Caenorhabditis elegans: one gene and its partner. The protein of the gene in region 1 interacts with the protein of each later gene in a pairwise test. Each region holds a gene or a part of one and is shown on either strand. Other genes may lie near its edges.

Region 1 (4,541 bases):
CTTGTTTCTCTGTTATTTTTTCATTAGATATCAGGTCAGTTATAATTGGAGAATTTTACGAAACTTTTTTATAGCACTAAAACCAATAGTTTCCTTTAAATTCACAACTATAATACGTCAAAAATTTTCAGTCAGTGCCAGCTAACCTGTGGAGAATGTGCGCCTGATCCGACTACCTGCAGTGACACTAATTCGGATTGTGAGAAGTTTCACGAAATGTGTGTGATGATGCCATATAGGGAGTAAGTTTGTATATTTTTAAAAATCGATTTTCCTTGATTCAACTCTCCAACTCCGTCAAACTTTTGTCGTTCTTTTTTGGCCGTTTTTTGGGCCGTTTTTTGGGCTTTATGAGATTTTTGACCAAGCTTCGGAATGTCCCATTTTTCTGATTTTTCGGAACTTCTTTTTTTTCTTTCTTTCCACATCAGCCTCGCCGAAACCTAAGCCTTAGGCCTAAGCTGGGTTTTTTAATGCTCGAAAGCCTTCAATTTGTTAGAAAATTTCCAGACAATGCCCGAAATCCTGTGGAATATGCGATTCTCCCGCCCCAACCTGGTGCATGGATCATTGGCCGGAATGCCCAAAATATCAAGTTCCCTGCTCGGAAACTGAGAGAATGTGGGAATTATGAAGATTAAAAAACATCTGATTTATCAGAAATTTTTCAGAAAGTGCCCCAGAAGCTGTGATGCGTGCGGGAATCCGTCCACAAAGGAGGCGTCTGTGACTACAACTAATGGCCACCTGCAAATTGGGACTACAAGAAGACTACAGGCTACACAGACTACAAAGAGTACAGAGACTACAGAGACTACAGAGACTACAAAGGCTATAAAGACTACAAAGACTACAGAGACTACAAAAGCTACAAAAACTACAACTCCATCAACTACCGTCAAAACCACGACTACAAAGCCAAAACCGCCGTGCACGGATTCTTCGCCAAAGTGAGTTTCTTAAGCCTGAAAAAAGTGTTTCATATTACTGACTAGGGCTTCCATGGTAGGCAGGCGCGGTTTCAGAGCTTGACGCCTGCCTGAAATCTGCCTCATGCAGGCCTTTCTTGCATTTTGACATTTTTTCCCCATTTTTGACGGAAAGTTCACTTATGTACCAGGGGTGTGCGGCAAATTTGCCGAATTTGCCGAATTTGCCGTTTGCCGAGCTCGGCAAATTTGCCGAATTTGCCGAGCACGGCAAATTTCAAAAAAATAGATTTGCCGAATTTGCCGAGCTCGGCTAATTCTGAAATTTGCCGCACACATCAAAAATTTCACATTACAATTTTGACCAAAACTATTGATTTTTTCCCAAAAAATGTTGTAAAATGACACAATATTGAGTTATTTTAATGGTTAAGCAAACACACTACACGGAACTTATTCTGAAACCAGACGTGTGTTAAAAATTTAGTAGTTTTGGTGCATCAAAAAATATCAAATTTTTCGGAGTTAGTTAAGCACGGCAAATTTTGAGATTTGCCGCACACCCCTGTTATGTACATATAAGCATAAGGCTTGGATTCAGGCGAGAGGCAGGCGGAGGTCGCCTGAATGTCAGACAGGTAGGCGTTTTTTCAGCTATAATATTGCTATAATATCAGCTATAATATTCCATTTTCAGCTGCACAACCTGGGCGAAGAATGGCTTTTGCACCAACACCTTTTACCCACCGGAGAAACGAAAGGAGTACTGCGGAAAGATGTGCAGAATGTGCTGACTTGGAATATTTTGGACATAAATTGTTAATTTCAATGTGCTAATAAATTATTTATATGATTTTTCTGCGATAACTTCAGAAAAAAGAAAAAAAATTGAGTTTTGAGCATTTTTTTCAGAAATTTTCCGAATGGTGCAGTGGGATTTCGTCTCGGTGCAGAAAGTCACAAGTTCGACCCCCAGTTCTGGTTGAACTTTTTTTTGGAAGTTCTGGAATAAACGAAAATGACGTTCAGCTTAGTAAAGTAGCGACACAACTTTTTTTATCAGTAGGTTTATCAGTTGATTTCTAGATTTTTTGTTGATATATATTATTTCTATGCACCTGTCGTAAAATACATCTTTGCTTTCGTCCACCTTTTTGATCAGAATTATGATGATCAGGCCATTAAAATTCCTCGAAATTTGTTGATTAACATCACTTTTAAACAAATATCATCATTATTTTAATCACCATCATCATCATCTTGGTTTCTAACCCCCATCTTAACTGATAACACACTGAAACTTTTGTTATAAAACAAGGCATTACATCAAGTATTATGTACTAGATTTTCCCACAAAAAATGCACTACTACATCCTGCCTATTCTTTTTTCAATATACATTATTGCAACTTGCAATCTATGTGAAGACTCAATGATCACATGTCCGGATCTCAAGGATCAATGTGATCAGGGATTTGTGCAGAGGTTGTTACTTATTAATATCGTACAAAAATAACTTACTACCATCAACATCAATAGTATTACATTAAAAAGCATTATGTGCATAACCTATTAAAAATTATAACCTCATACTATTGCTACATATTACTACGAATTTTTTATTAATATTAAGGTTATTAACGTATGTATGTAGTAAACAATATTGAAGGTATTAACGTAATTAAGTTTATTAAACTTATTAACGTTATAATTATTATTAGAAGTACTAACAGGTTATACTAATTTGTTTTGCTTGTAATATTAACGTTTTAACGTCATTATTAGTGTTAATTTGTTCAAATGTTATCATAGTGAGGCAATAATATATATATATATATATGTGTATTTACATATGTTATTATATTTTGTAGTCAATTCACACTGTTGCATTTTATATGCTTATCGCATTGGGTGAAATAATATTTTAAAAGCTACTTCAATATTCCTTATGTTAAATTACAAAAGCGAATGTTAAACTACATGTATACAAAGGAATTTTCAGTCAATGCCCATACACTTGTGGAATATGCCATCAGGATCCAAATCAATGTACTGACACTAACTTAGATTGCTTGAAGTTTGATTCAATGTGCAAGACGGATGTGAAGTATCAGAAGTGAGTTGTATAACAATACACAAACATGCATTAAATTTACGTATCTGTTATTTTGTCAACAAAACGATCAATAGTTTTTTTATAAAGCAATGAGCATTCATAAATCAAACTACCTTTATTTCCAGACAATGCCCATACACCTGTGGAACCTGCGTACCAGCTACCCCGGACAGCTGCTTTGATCATATGATTGAGTGCCCAAATTATAGCGTTCCATGTACTGACGCTGTTAAGATGTATGTTGGAATTGTAGGACGTTCGAATTTGAAAATTTTAGACAATGCCCAAAAAGGTGTGGAGTTTGCACCTCGGGAGCCAGTAATTCGACATTAGCTCCTCCCAGACCGTCACCAACTCCACCATGTTTTGATAGTGGCAACGAATGCGCCACCTATACGCTGCCATGTGATGTGAACCAAAAGATGTCGGGGATTTATTTTGAGATTAACTATTAAATTTATAGTGAAACTTTAGATTCTGCCCACGGACCTGTGGAGTTTGTGGAAGTACTGGGGTACCTATGGCTCAAACTACGTTGCTCACTACGGTAAAGCCTACGACTACAGTAGTACCAAGTACTACAACAAAACTGCCAGCTACCACGACCAAGAAGCTTCCATCAACTACGCCAAAGCCACCATGCAAGGATTCGTCGCCAAAGTTAGTTTATAGATTGATGCTCATTTCGAAATTTCAGTTTTTCTATCTATTATTAAAACATGATAGATTGCTGCTTCAATGTTAAGCTATCATTTCTCATTTAATTACTATTTAAGTAAGTCTCTCAAAATTTCCAGCTGTGCCGGGTGGGCAAAAAACGGCTTCTGCACGAACACCTTCTATCCACCGGAGAAGAGAAAGGAGTACTGTGCAAAGACATGTAGAATGTGCTGATTTTTTGATTTAATAAATTATTTATTCTTATCAAAATGTGTATCAATGTGATGACAAAAGAGGGTGTGAAGTCGAACATGAGGAATTATGACTTCTTAACGCAAACGGCATAGTTTTAACGAAAAATGTGCTACGAGACCCCTTTGTTTCCTGGTCATGTGAGAGTTTGCCGTATCAGTAGATTTAGTAGATTTACGGGGCGTTGCGTGTCGCGTCGCGGCTCGTTTCTAGAACTAAATGAGTTTGGTGTCAAGCTGCCCCATTTCAGTATAACCTACGTAGATCTACAAGAATTGCAGGCATTTAGACGCAGACTTCTCAACTGATTTTGCATGGTTAAGAATGTGCTGACGTCACATTTCTTTGGGGAGAAAATTCCCACAATTTTTGTAGATCAAACCGTAATAGGACAACCTGACACCACGTGTGAATGTATTTGTCCGTGTGGAGTACACGACTTTTCCACTTGTTGTCCGGCAGGCGATTGTCAATGGAGCGTGAAAAATGCAAAGAGGAAGATCCCACGGTAGCACAGAAACTAGATGGGTTGGTTCATGATACTCAGTCGGGAAACCTATATTGGCTACTATCTCGAAAATCATC
Region 2 (6,029 bases), on another chromosome or scaffold:
TTCTTTTTTCGAAGTTTTAAAATATTTACACTCCATAAAAGTTTTGGCTTTTTTTGTGTAATGTCGCATTATGAAATTCGGTAGTTTCGAGCAAATTTTTGTATATTTACGCAAAAAATTCTGTTACCCAGATCCGAAACTTTGCTATTTTCCCCCAAAAAATACACTACCAGGTCTCGAAGCGGCCGATTTTCTCCAATGCCAAAATTTAAGGATTACTGTAGTTTCCAAATCCTCGCTTCTTTTTGGATTTTTTACGATGTTGCATGTGAAAGTATAAAAAAATAAATGAAATGTTTTAAAATGAGAATTCAGAAACTGCCGTACTCCTTAAAAGTCGCTTCGAGACCTATTGTCATAGTTTTGAGACAAAATCTCGCATCTGACCAATATTTTATGCTATTTCATTTTTTAAAATTCATGTTTTTTTTCCAGATTGGAGCAAGCTGCCGCACTTGGAATGGGAAATGCTCGTTCTCTTGCCTCACTTTTTGACAAGGTTTGTTCTCGTTTTTTTGATAAATTTATGAGAATTTTAAGTTTTTTTTCGTTTTGTTTGAACATCGTTATCAGCTGAAACTAGGCTGATAGCGAAGAAAAGAAATTTTTAAGTCGAACAAAAAAAAAGAAAAAGGAAATTTCCTTGTGACTGTTTAAAAAAACTGAAACAAAAACGATAGTTAAGAGGATTGTTTCAGGTAAATCGAGGAAAACTTCTCAATCAGGCTACACTGAACACGATAAGCAAACCGTTCGTCAACGAGAGTGATTTCATTTTTGATGATACTGTCGCCAAGGGACACGGATTTTTCCATTTGCCCATTCATAGAGCTGGGGTGAGATTTTGAATAATCGAAAGAGGGACGAGGGATGATGGAAATTTTGAACTGAAAAATTTTAAAAAATCCATTTTCACAATAAAAAAACCAAAAAAACCAACAAAAGTCTGAAAAAACTCTTAAAGAACGAAAAAGTCAAAATTCATCCAATAAAGCAGATTTTTTAATTTTTGCCAAAAAAAACTTTTAAAAAATCCATTTTTGCGAAAAAAAAAACCACTGTCCTTTTTCCCATAAAAAATTCAAAAAAATCAATTTTTCTCAAAAAAACCCGAAAAGTACCTTTTTGCTAAATAAACATAAATTAACAAAAATTAACAAAAATTAACAAAAATAACAAAAATTAACAAAATTAAAAATAAATTAAATAAATAAACATAAAACATAAACAGCCAAAAATTAATTTTTGCATTAAAAAAGACTGAAAAATCCATTTTTGTAATAAAATTACAACTGCCGAAAAAAGCAAAAAAAAAAAAATTTTGAAACCCCCAAAAAATTAGCAAAGGACCAAAAAAAAAGAGCCCAGGTGGTGAACAGAAAACGAAAAAACAGGAGAAATTGTTGAAAAACCATTAATTTCGAATTCATTCAAAAAATGAAAATGCATAGAAAAAATATTTAAAACCCTAAATTTAGCTAAAGAACCTGCAAAATGTTAGGAGCGTTTTTTTATTTAATTTTCAGTGAATTTTTTTAATATTTTTCTTTCATAATTCGCCATATTTTCAGACTCAATTCGGCTTCGGACATACCGGGCACGGATGCCAAATGGTCATCACAGATCTCAAGAATCGAGTGACAATTGCCTACGTCACAAATGGGTTGAAAACGGGACTCTACGACTTGTGCAGGACGTACTGGGGACTTCAGACTTCTGTATATGATGTCATCGAACAAATTAATATTCAATCATAATTTATTTTATTTCATTTTTTAATTAGTGATTCCATATAGTTTTAAGATATATCCCAAATCATCCCGCGTGTTCTTTGTACAGTCCGTTTTTAATTCATTCATTCCAAGTGTCGTTCTCTCAATGTTGAAGCTTCTTCCCCCGTAATTAACTGACCGAGTGACCCCACAAAATTGCATATTTATCTGCTCTCTCTCGATTTCCTTACTAATAAACCATCAGTTCACCAGTTTTTAACCACATTTGCGGGGAGCTGGCAGGTGGTAACCCGCAAGTTGCCAGGGGCAACGAGGGTGGCTTAAGGCAAGTGGCCGCGCGGAAAAGAGCTTTCCAGGGGGAGAGGAAAGCAGGATGTCCATATTTGGAAGCATTCTAAGTCTGCAGGATGCCATAAATCGATTTCCGCAGTTTGAATATCAGGTGGGGAATATTAATTGTTAACACGAATTTGAAAAGGAATTCGATTTTTTTCAATTTTTGGATTTTTTTGTAATTTATTTAAAAATTATTATTGTGAATTTTTTAATTTTTCCATTACACATTATTAAATAACTAAAAATTGAATTCGTGGTTTATTGTTCATTTCCAACTAAAAAAATCCCTTCAATACCCAAAAAGTTGCAGTGGGGCGCATTTTCAACGTTTTAATTAAATTTCAAACGTATAATTAAAACTGAGTCTCGTCACAACAGATTTTTGTTAAATGCGGAAAGGTGTGCGTCTTTAAAGAGTACTGTAATTCAAAATTCCAGAATTTTTTTTAAATTTAATGTACATATTTTCATCTAAAAACTATTAAAAAACTAAAAAATTCCTCTGCAACGAAAGTTTGGAATTACAGTACTCTTTAAAGGCACACAACTTTTCGCATTCGACAAAAATTGTCGTGTCTAGACCGTAAACCGTATTTTCAAGGAAAAATAGCAAAAGCCTTTTTTTCAGATAAATCGCCTCGAAAAAGAGCAAAAAGACACCGAAGCCGCGTCGAGAGCAAGTTTTCGCAAACATTTTGTCAGACAGTGCCAGGAATTGCATAGACAGGTAAAAATTGCATTTTCTCTATCTGCCTTATGCCTGGCTGCCTACGGGCCTACCTACCGCCCATTATGGGATCTCCGGTTTGATTCATAGATTTTAGGTCGACCAACTTTCTATTTAATTTCAATTAATTGTTTACAAACATTGAAAAATTGTTAGGCATATGTGTAGACCGTAGGCACTCTGGTAGGTAGGCATTCTCGTGCCTACGTAGAAGTATCATTCAAGGATATCAACATATGCATACAGTTTGCAGCTCGACGATCACCGAAATCGAATTGAAAAGGCCAAAACTGACGAGACCTACAAGAAAGAAAACGCTCTAGAGCAACTTGACAAGTTGAAGCAAAGATTGACAGCTTTGAGCCCGGAAAAGGAGCAATTATCGTTTTCTGTCAGGTAAAATTATAATTAAATTCAATTTCTCTAATAAATAGTTAAATATTCAATTCCAGTGTGGACTCTCAATCAGAAGAAGAAAAACCGAAAATGGCTGCAATTGGCCGCCGAAAAAGCACAATGTATAACGATGATGAATCAGAAGATTCTGATAATGATTCAGAAATTATTGAGACGGATGTTCAGCTGGATGATCCTCTTCCGAGTCAGCCACAGCCTCCACAGCAACAGCACCAGCAACCTCAACCAAAACCCAGACAACCTATCACAATTACAAAACCTCTTGAATCAAAGACTTTGAATGAACGTCAAGAACTTGATGAAGTCATCTCAAGGCTTCAGAATCCGAGTCGTGGAGATTCTGGAGAAGTTATGGAACCAGTTGTAGTCCGTGGCAATGTTTTTGTTGCAATTGACAGTTGGGATGCAGAAGCTGAAGGGGATTTGGAGTTAATCAAAGGAAAGAAGTATCGAATCACACAGACAAGATCCGATGGTTGGTGGACTGCACTGGATGAATATGGTCAGAGGGGTCTTGTGCCAAAGACTTATTTACAACATGTTAAGGAAAAGCCGAAGAATGTGGTTTGTTACTTTTCTCTAGTATCGTTAGTTTAATAAGTAGAAATTTTCAGCCATCAAAAGTGTCTAGTCGCCTCGGAGTTCGAGATTCGGTGATCGGAATATCTACGACTACTGATCCATCAAGACGAGAAGCAAACCGGCAGGCATCTCGAGTTGATGACTGTCTTGGTAAAGCATATGACAATGACACTCACTTGTCACTAGTGTGCCATATGGCTCCGAGACTATCAACTTCAAATATTGGATTTCATGATCTTTTTTGGAGTCATTACAAGGATCAGGTAAAAGTTTAAAACTTGCAGTTTCTACCCAAAAAATGCTACAGTTTTGCCAAAAAACCTCTGAGTCTTCCTAAAAACGGCTGAGAAAATTGCTTTAAAAATTTTTACTATGAATCATTTGCTACTCATAGCAACACATTTTTTGCTCACTTTCATAAATCAACTATATTTTTTGCAGGTTTACAAGCGAACTGTCCATATATCAAAAATTATCCGTCTAGTTCGATTTGAAAAGATGCCCCTAATCGAACACAAGGCACTTGTCAGAATGGCTCTTGTCGACATCACAAATCCAAAATCCACTCAAATTGTGAGCAACGTGCACACTCTTGTGCCACGTGTCAAATCTTCAACGTGGTACTTTGAGAAAAAAGAGAGCCAGACGAGAAGCTGCATCGAGTTTTCTGATTTTGTTCTCCGCTCAAACTATCGATCTCCGACAGTGGTACTTGTTGTGGAAGCATCTCATTTGGTGAAGACACAAATAGGAATTGAGGAAAAGAGTTTGGGACATACATATCTGCGACTGATAATTGATGATAAAGCAGTGCCAAGTAGAACGAATGTTTTGTATTTGGATGATGAAGTGATGACAAAAATGAAGTTGCCGGAAGCTTCGAAAAGAAGAGTTCTGGTTCAAGTGATGGATGTTCCCAAGGATAAGGTTTCATATGTGGAGTGAGTTTTGGAAACTAAGAAAGCTGAAAATCTGGATCCCTGACCTGACTTTAAGTTCAACCCAAATTATTTTTCCAGCTCCCTCCCCGATGTCATAGTATTCAATGCTCTTTATTTACCATTCTTCCACTTTTACCGCCGACGAGCTGGAACCATTTTAATTCGGGACAATCGGAATCCATTGAGTGCTGGTAGGATTTCATACCCACCCAAACAATATTTTGAACTAATTTCAGAATTTATATCTGACCCACTTCTCTCTGTATTCCCATTTGTTTGTGACCAGCATGACATTATGGATATAATGCTGAAAATTTGGAAAACCAAAAAGAAAGTGCTCGCCAAGAAAAACGAAGCTGAACAAACTGCCGAGTTCTTCCAAACTTTTCTACACACCGCGTTTTTTATTCATGGGATTCGAATGATTTCGTATGATGTCAAAGATGATCTTACTCTTTCGATTAGGCAACAGGTAGAGCTGCTGCTCTTGGAGCTCGTTTCAAAATCAGGCTTCGATTATTGTAACATTTCAGACTATGCAACGATTTGTGGATGCATTGAATAAGGGACTTTTCAAGCAGTTCATCGCAGATCAACAATGCAAACCAATCAATATTATCGATTATTCATTGGATCTTTTAGGCAATCATTCTATTGACTAATTTATGGAGATAAAATTAAGCTCAATAAAAAATTTAACTGTGTAATAAGTTCTACTCATCTAGCATCTAAGCATAGAAATGTTTCAGTCATTGTTTCAGTAAATTTCAAGTTTTGAAATTTTTGGTTTTGAAATTTTTGGTTTTTTTGTTTAATATTTGAATAATTTAGAGTCGACTCCCAAACATAGGAGTGGTAAAACTGAGCAATGGCCATTTTTCAGTTGTAAATTTTCACACTGTACCCTCTCAAAAAATGGATTTGAAATGAAATATGTTTATTCGCAATAATGAATAAAATTGGGCGATTTTTCAGAATCACAGCCTCATCGAATTTATTCCATTAAGGGGTTTTATTACATCATGAAATTCTGCGAGCTGACGATCAGGATGTGGTTCTGAGAAATCTAAGAGTTCCTAAACTGGCTTGCCGCTGATTACAGTAGCGGCAGCGGAAGAAGCTTCAGGTGCGGCGGTAGAGGCCTCGGAAGAAGCAGCGGTTGATACCACAGAAGCTCCACTTGCAGTAGTATCTCCACCAGCTGTGGATGCAACGGATGCATCGGTTGCTCCAGAGACAGTAGAACCTGGTGCATCAGTACTCACTGGAGCAGCAGTACTTCCACCAGTCGGC

The links.
Region 2: the proteins of mul-1 (region 1) and nphp-1 interact in a two-hybrid assay, tested with the Caenorhabditis elegans proteins (one large-scale study listed by BioGRID).

Annotation. Positions count from the first base shown.
Region 1 is NC_003282.8:4,120,768-4,125,308, reverse strand, and holds mul-1 (ShKT domain-containing protein), read left to right. Parts: upstream 1-2,142; 5' UTR 2,143-2,288; coding exon 2,289-2,413; intron 2,414-2,930; coding exon 2,931-3,044; intron 3,045-3,169; coding exon 3,170-3,280; intron 3,281-3,321; coding exon 3,322-3,468; intron 3,469-3,518; coding exon 3,519-3,704; intron 3,705-3,841; coding exon 3,842-3,938; 3' UTR 3,939-3,967; downstream 3,968-4,541. Other genes in the region: F49F1.7 (ShKT domain-containing protein), read left to right, coding at 132-242, 511-621, 672-950, 1,627-1,723.
Region 2 is NC_003280.10:10,648,307-10,654,335, reverse strand, and holds nphp-1 (Nephrocystin-1-like protein), read left to right. Parts: upstream 1-2,079; 5' UTR 2,080-2,106; coding exon 2,107-2,175; intron 2,176-2,697; coding exon 2,698-2,796; intron 2,797-3,049; coding exon 3,050-3,192; intron 3,193-3,248; coding exon 3,249-3,777; intron 3,778-3,827; coding exon 3,828-4,058; intron 4,059-4,236; coding exon 4,237-4,736; intron 4,737-4,814; coding exon 4,815-4,927; intron 4,928-4,972; coding exon 4,973-5,208; intron 5,209-5,269; coding exon 5,270-5,398; 3' UTR 5,399-5,443; downstream 5,444-6,029. Other genes in the region: lact-3 (Beta-lactamase-related domain-containing protein), read left to right, coding at 436-499, 699-836, 1,572-1,757; M28.10 (Flo11 domain-containing protein), read right to left, coding at 5,813-6,029. UniProt on the Caenorhabditis elegans protein: Plays a role in the extension of dendrites from phasmid ciliated sensory neurons. May be necessary for initial assembly of the cilium.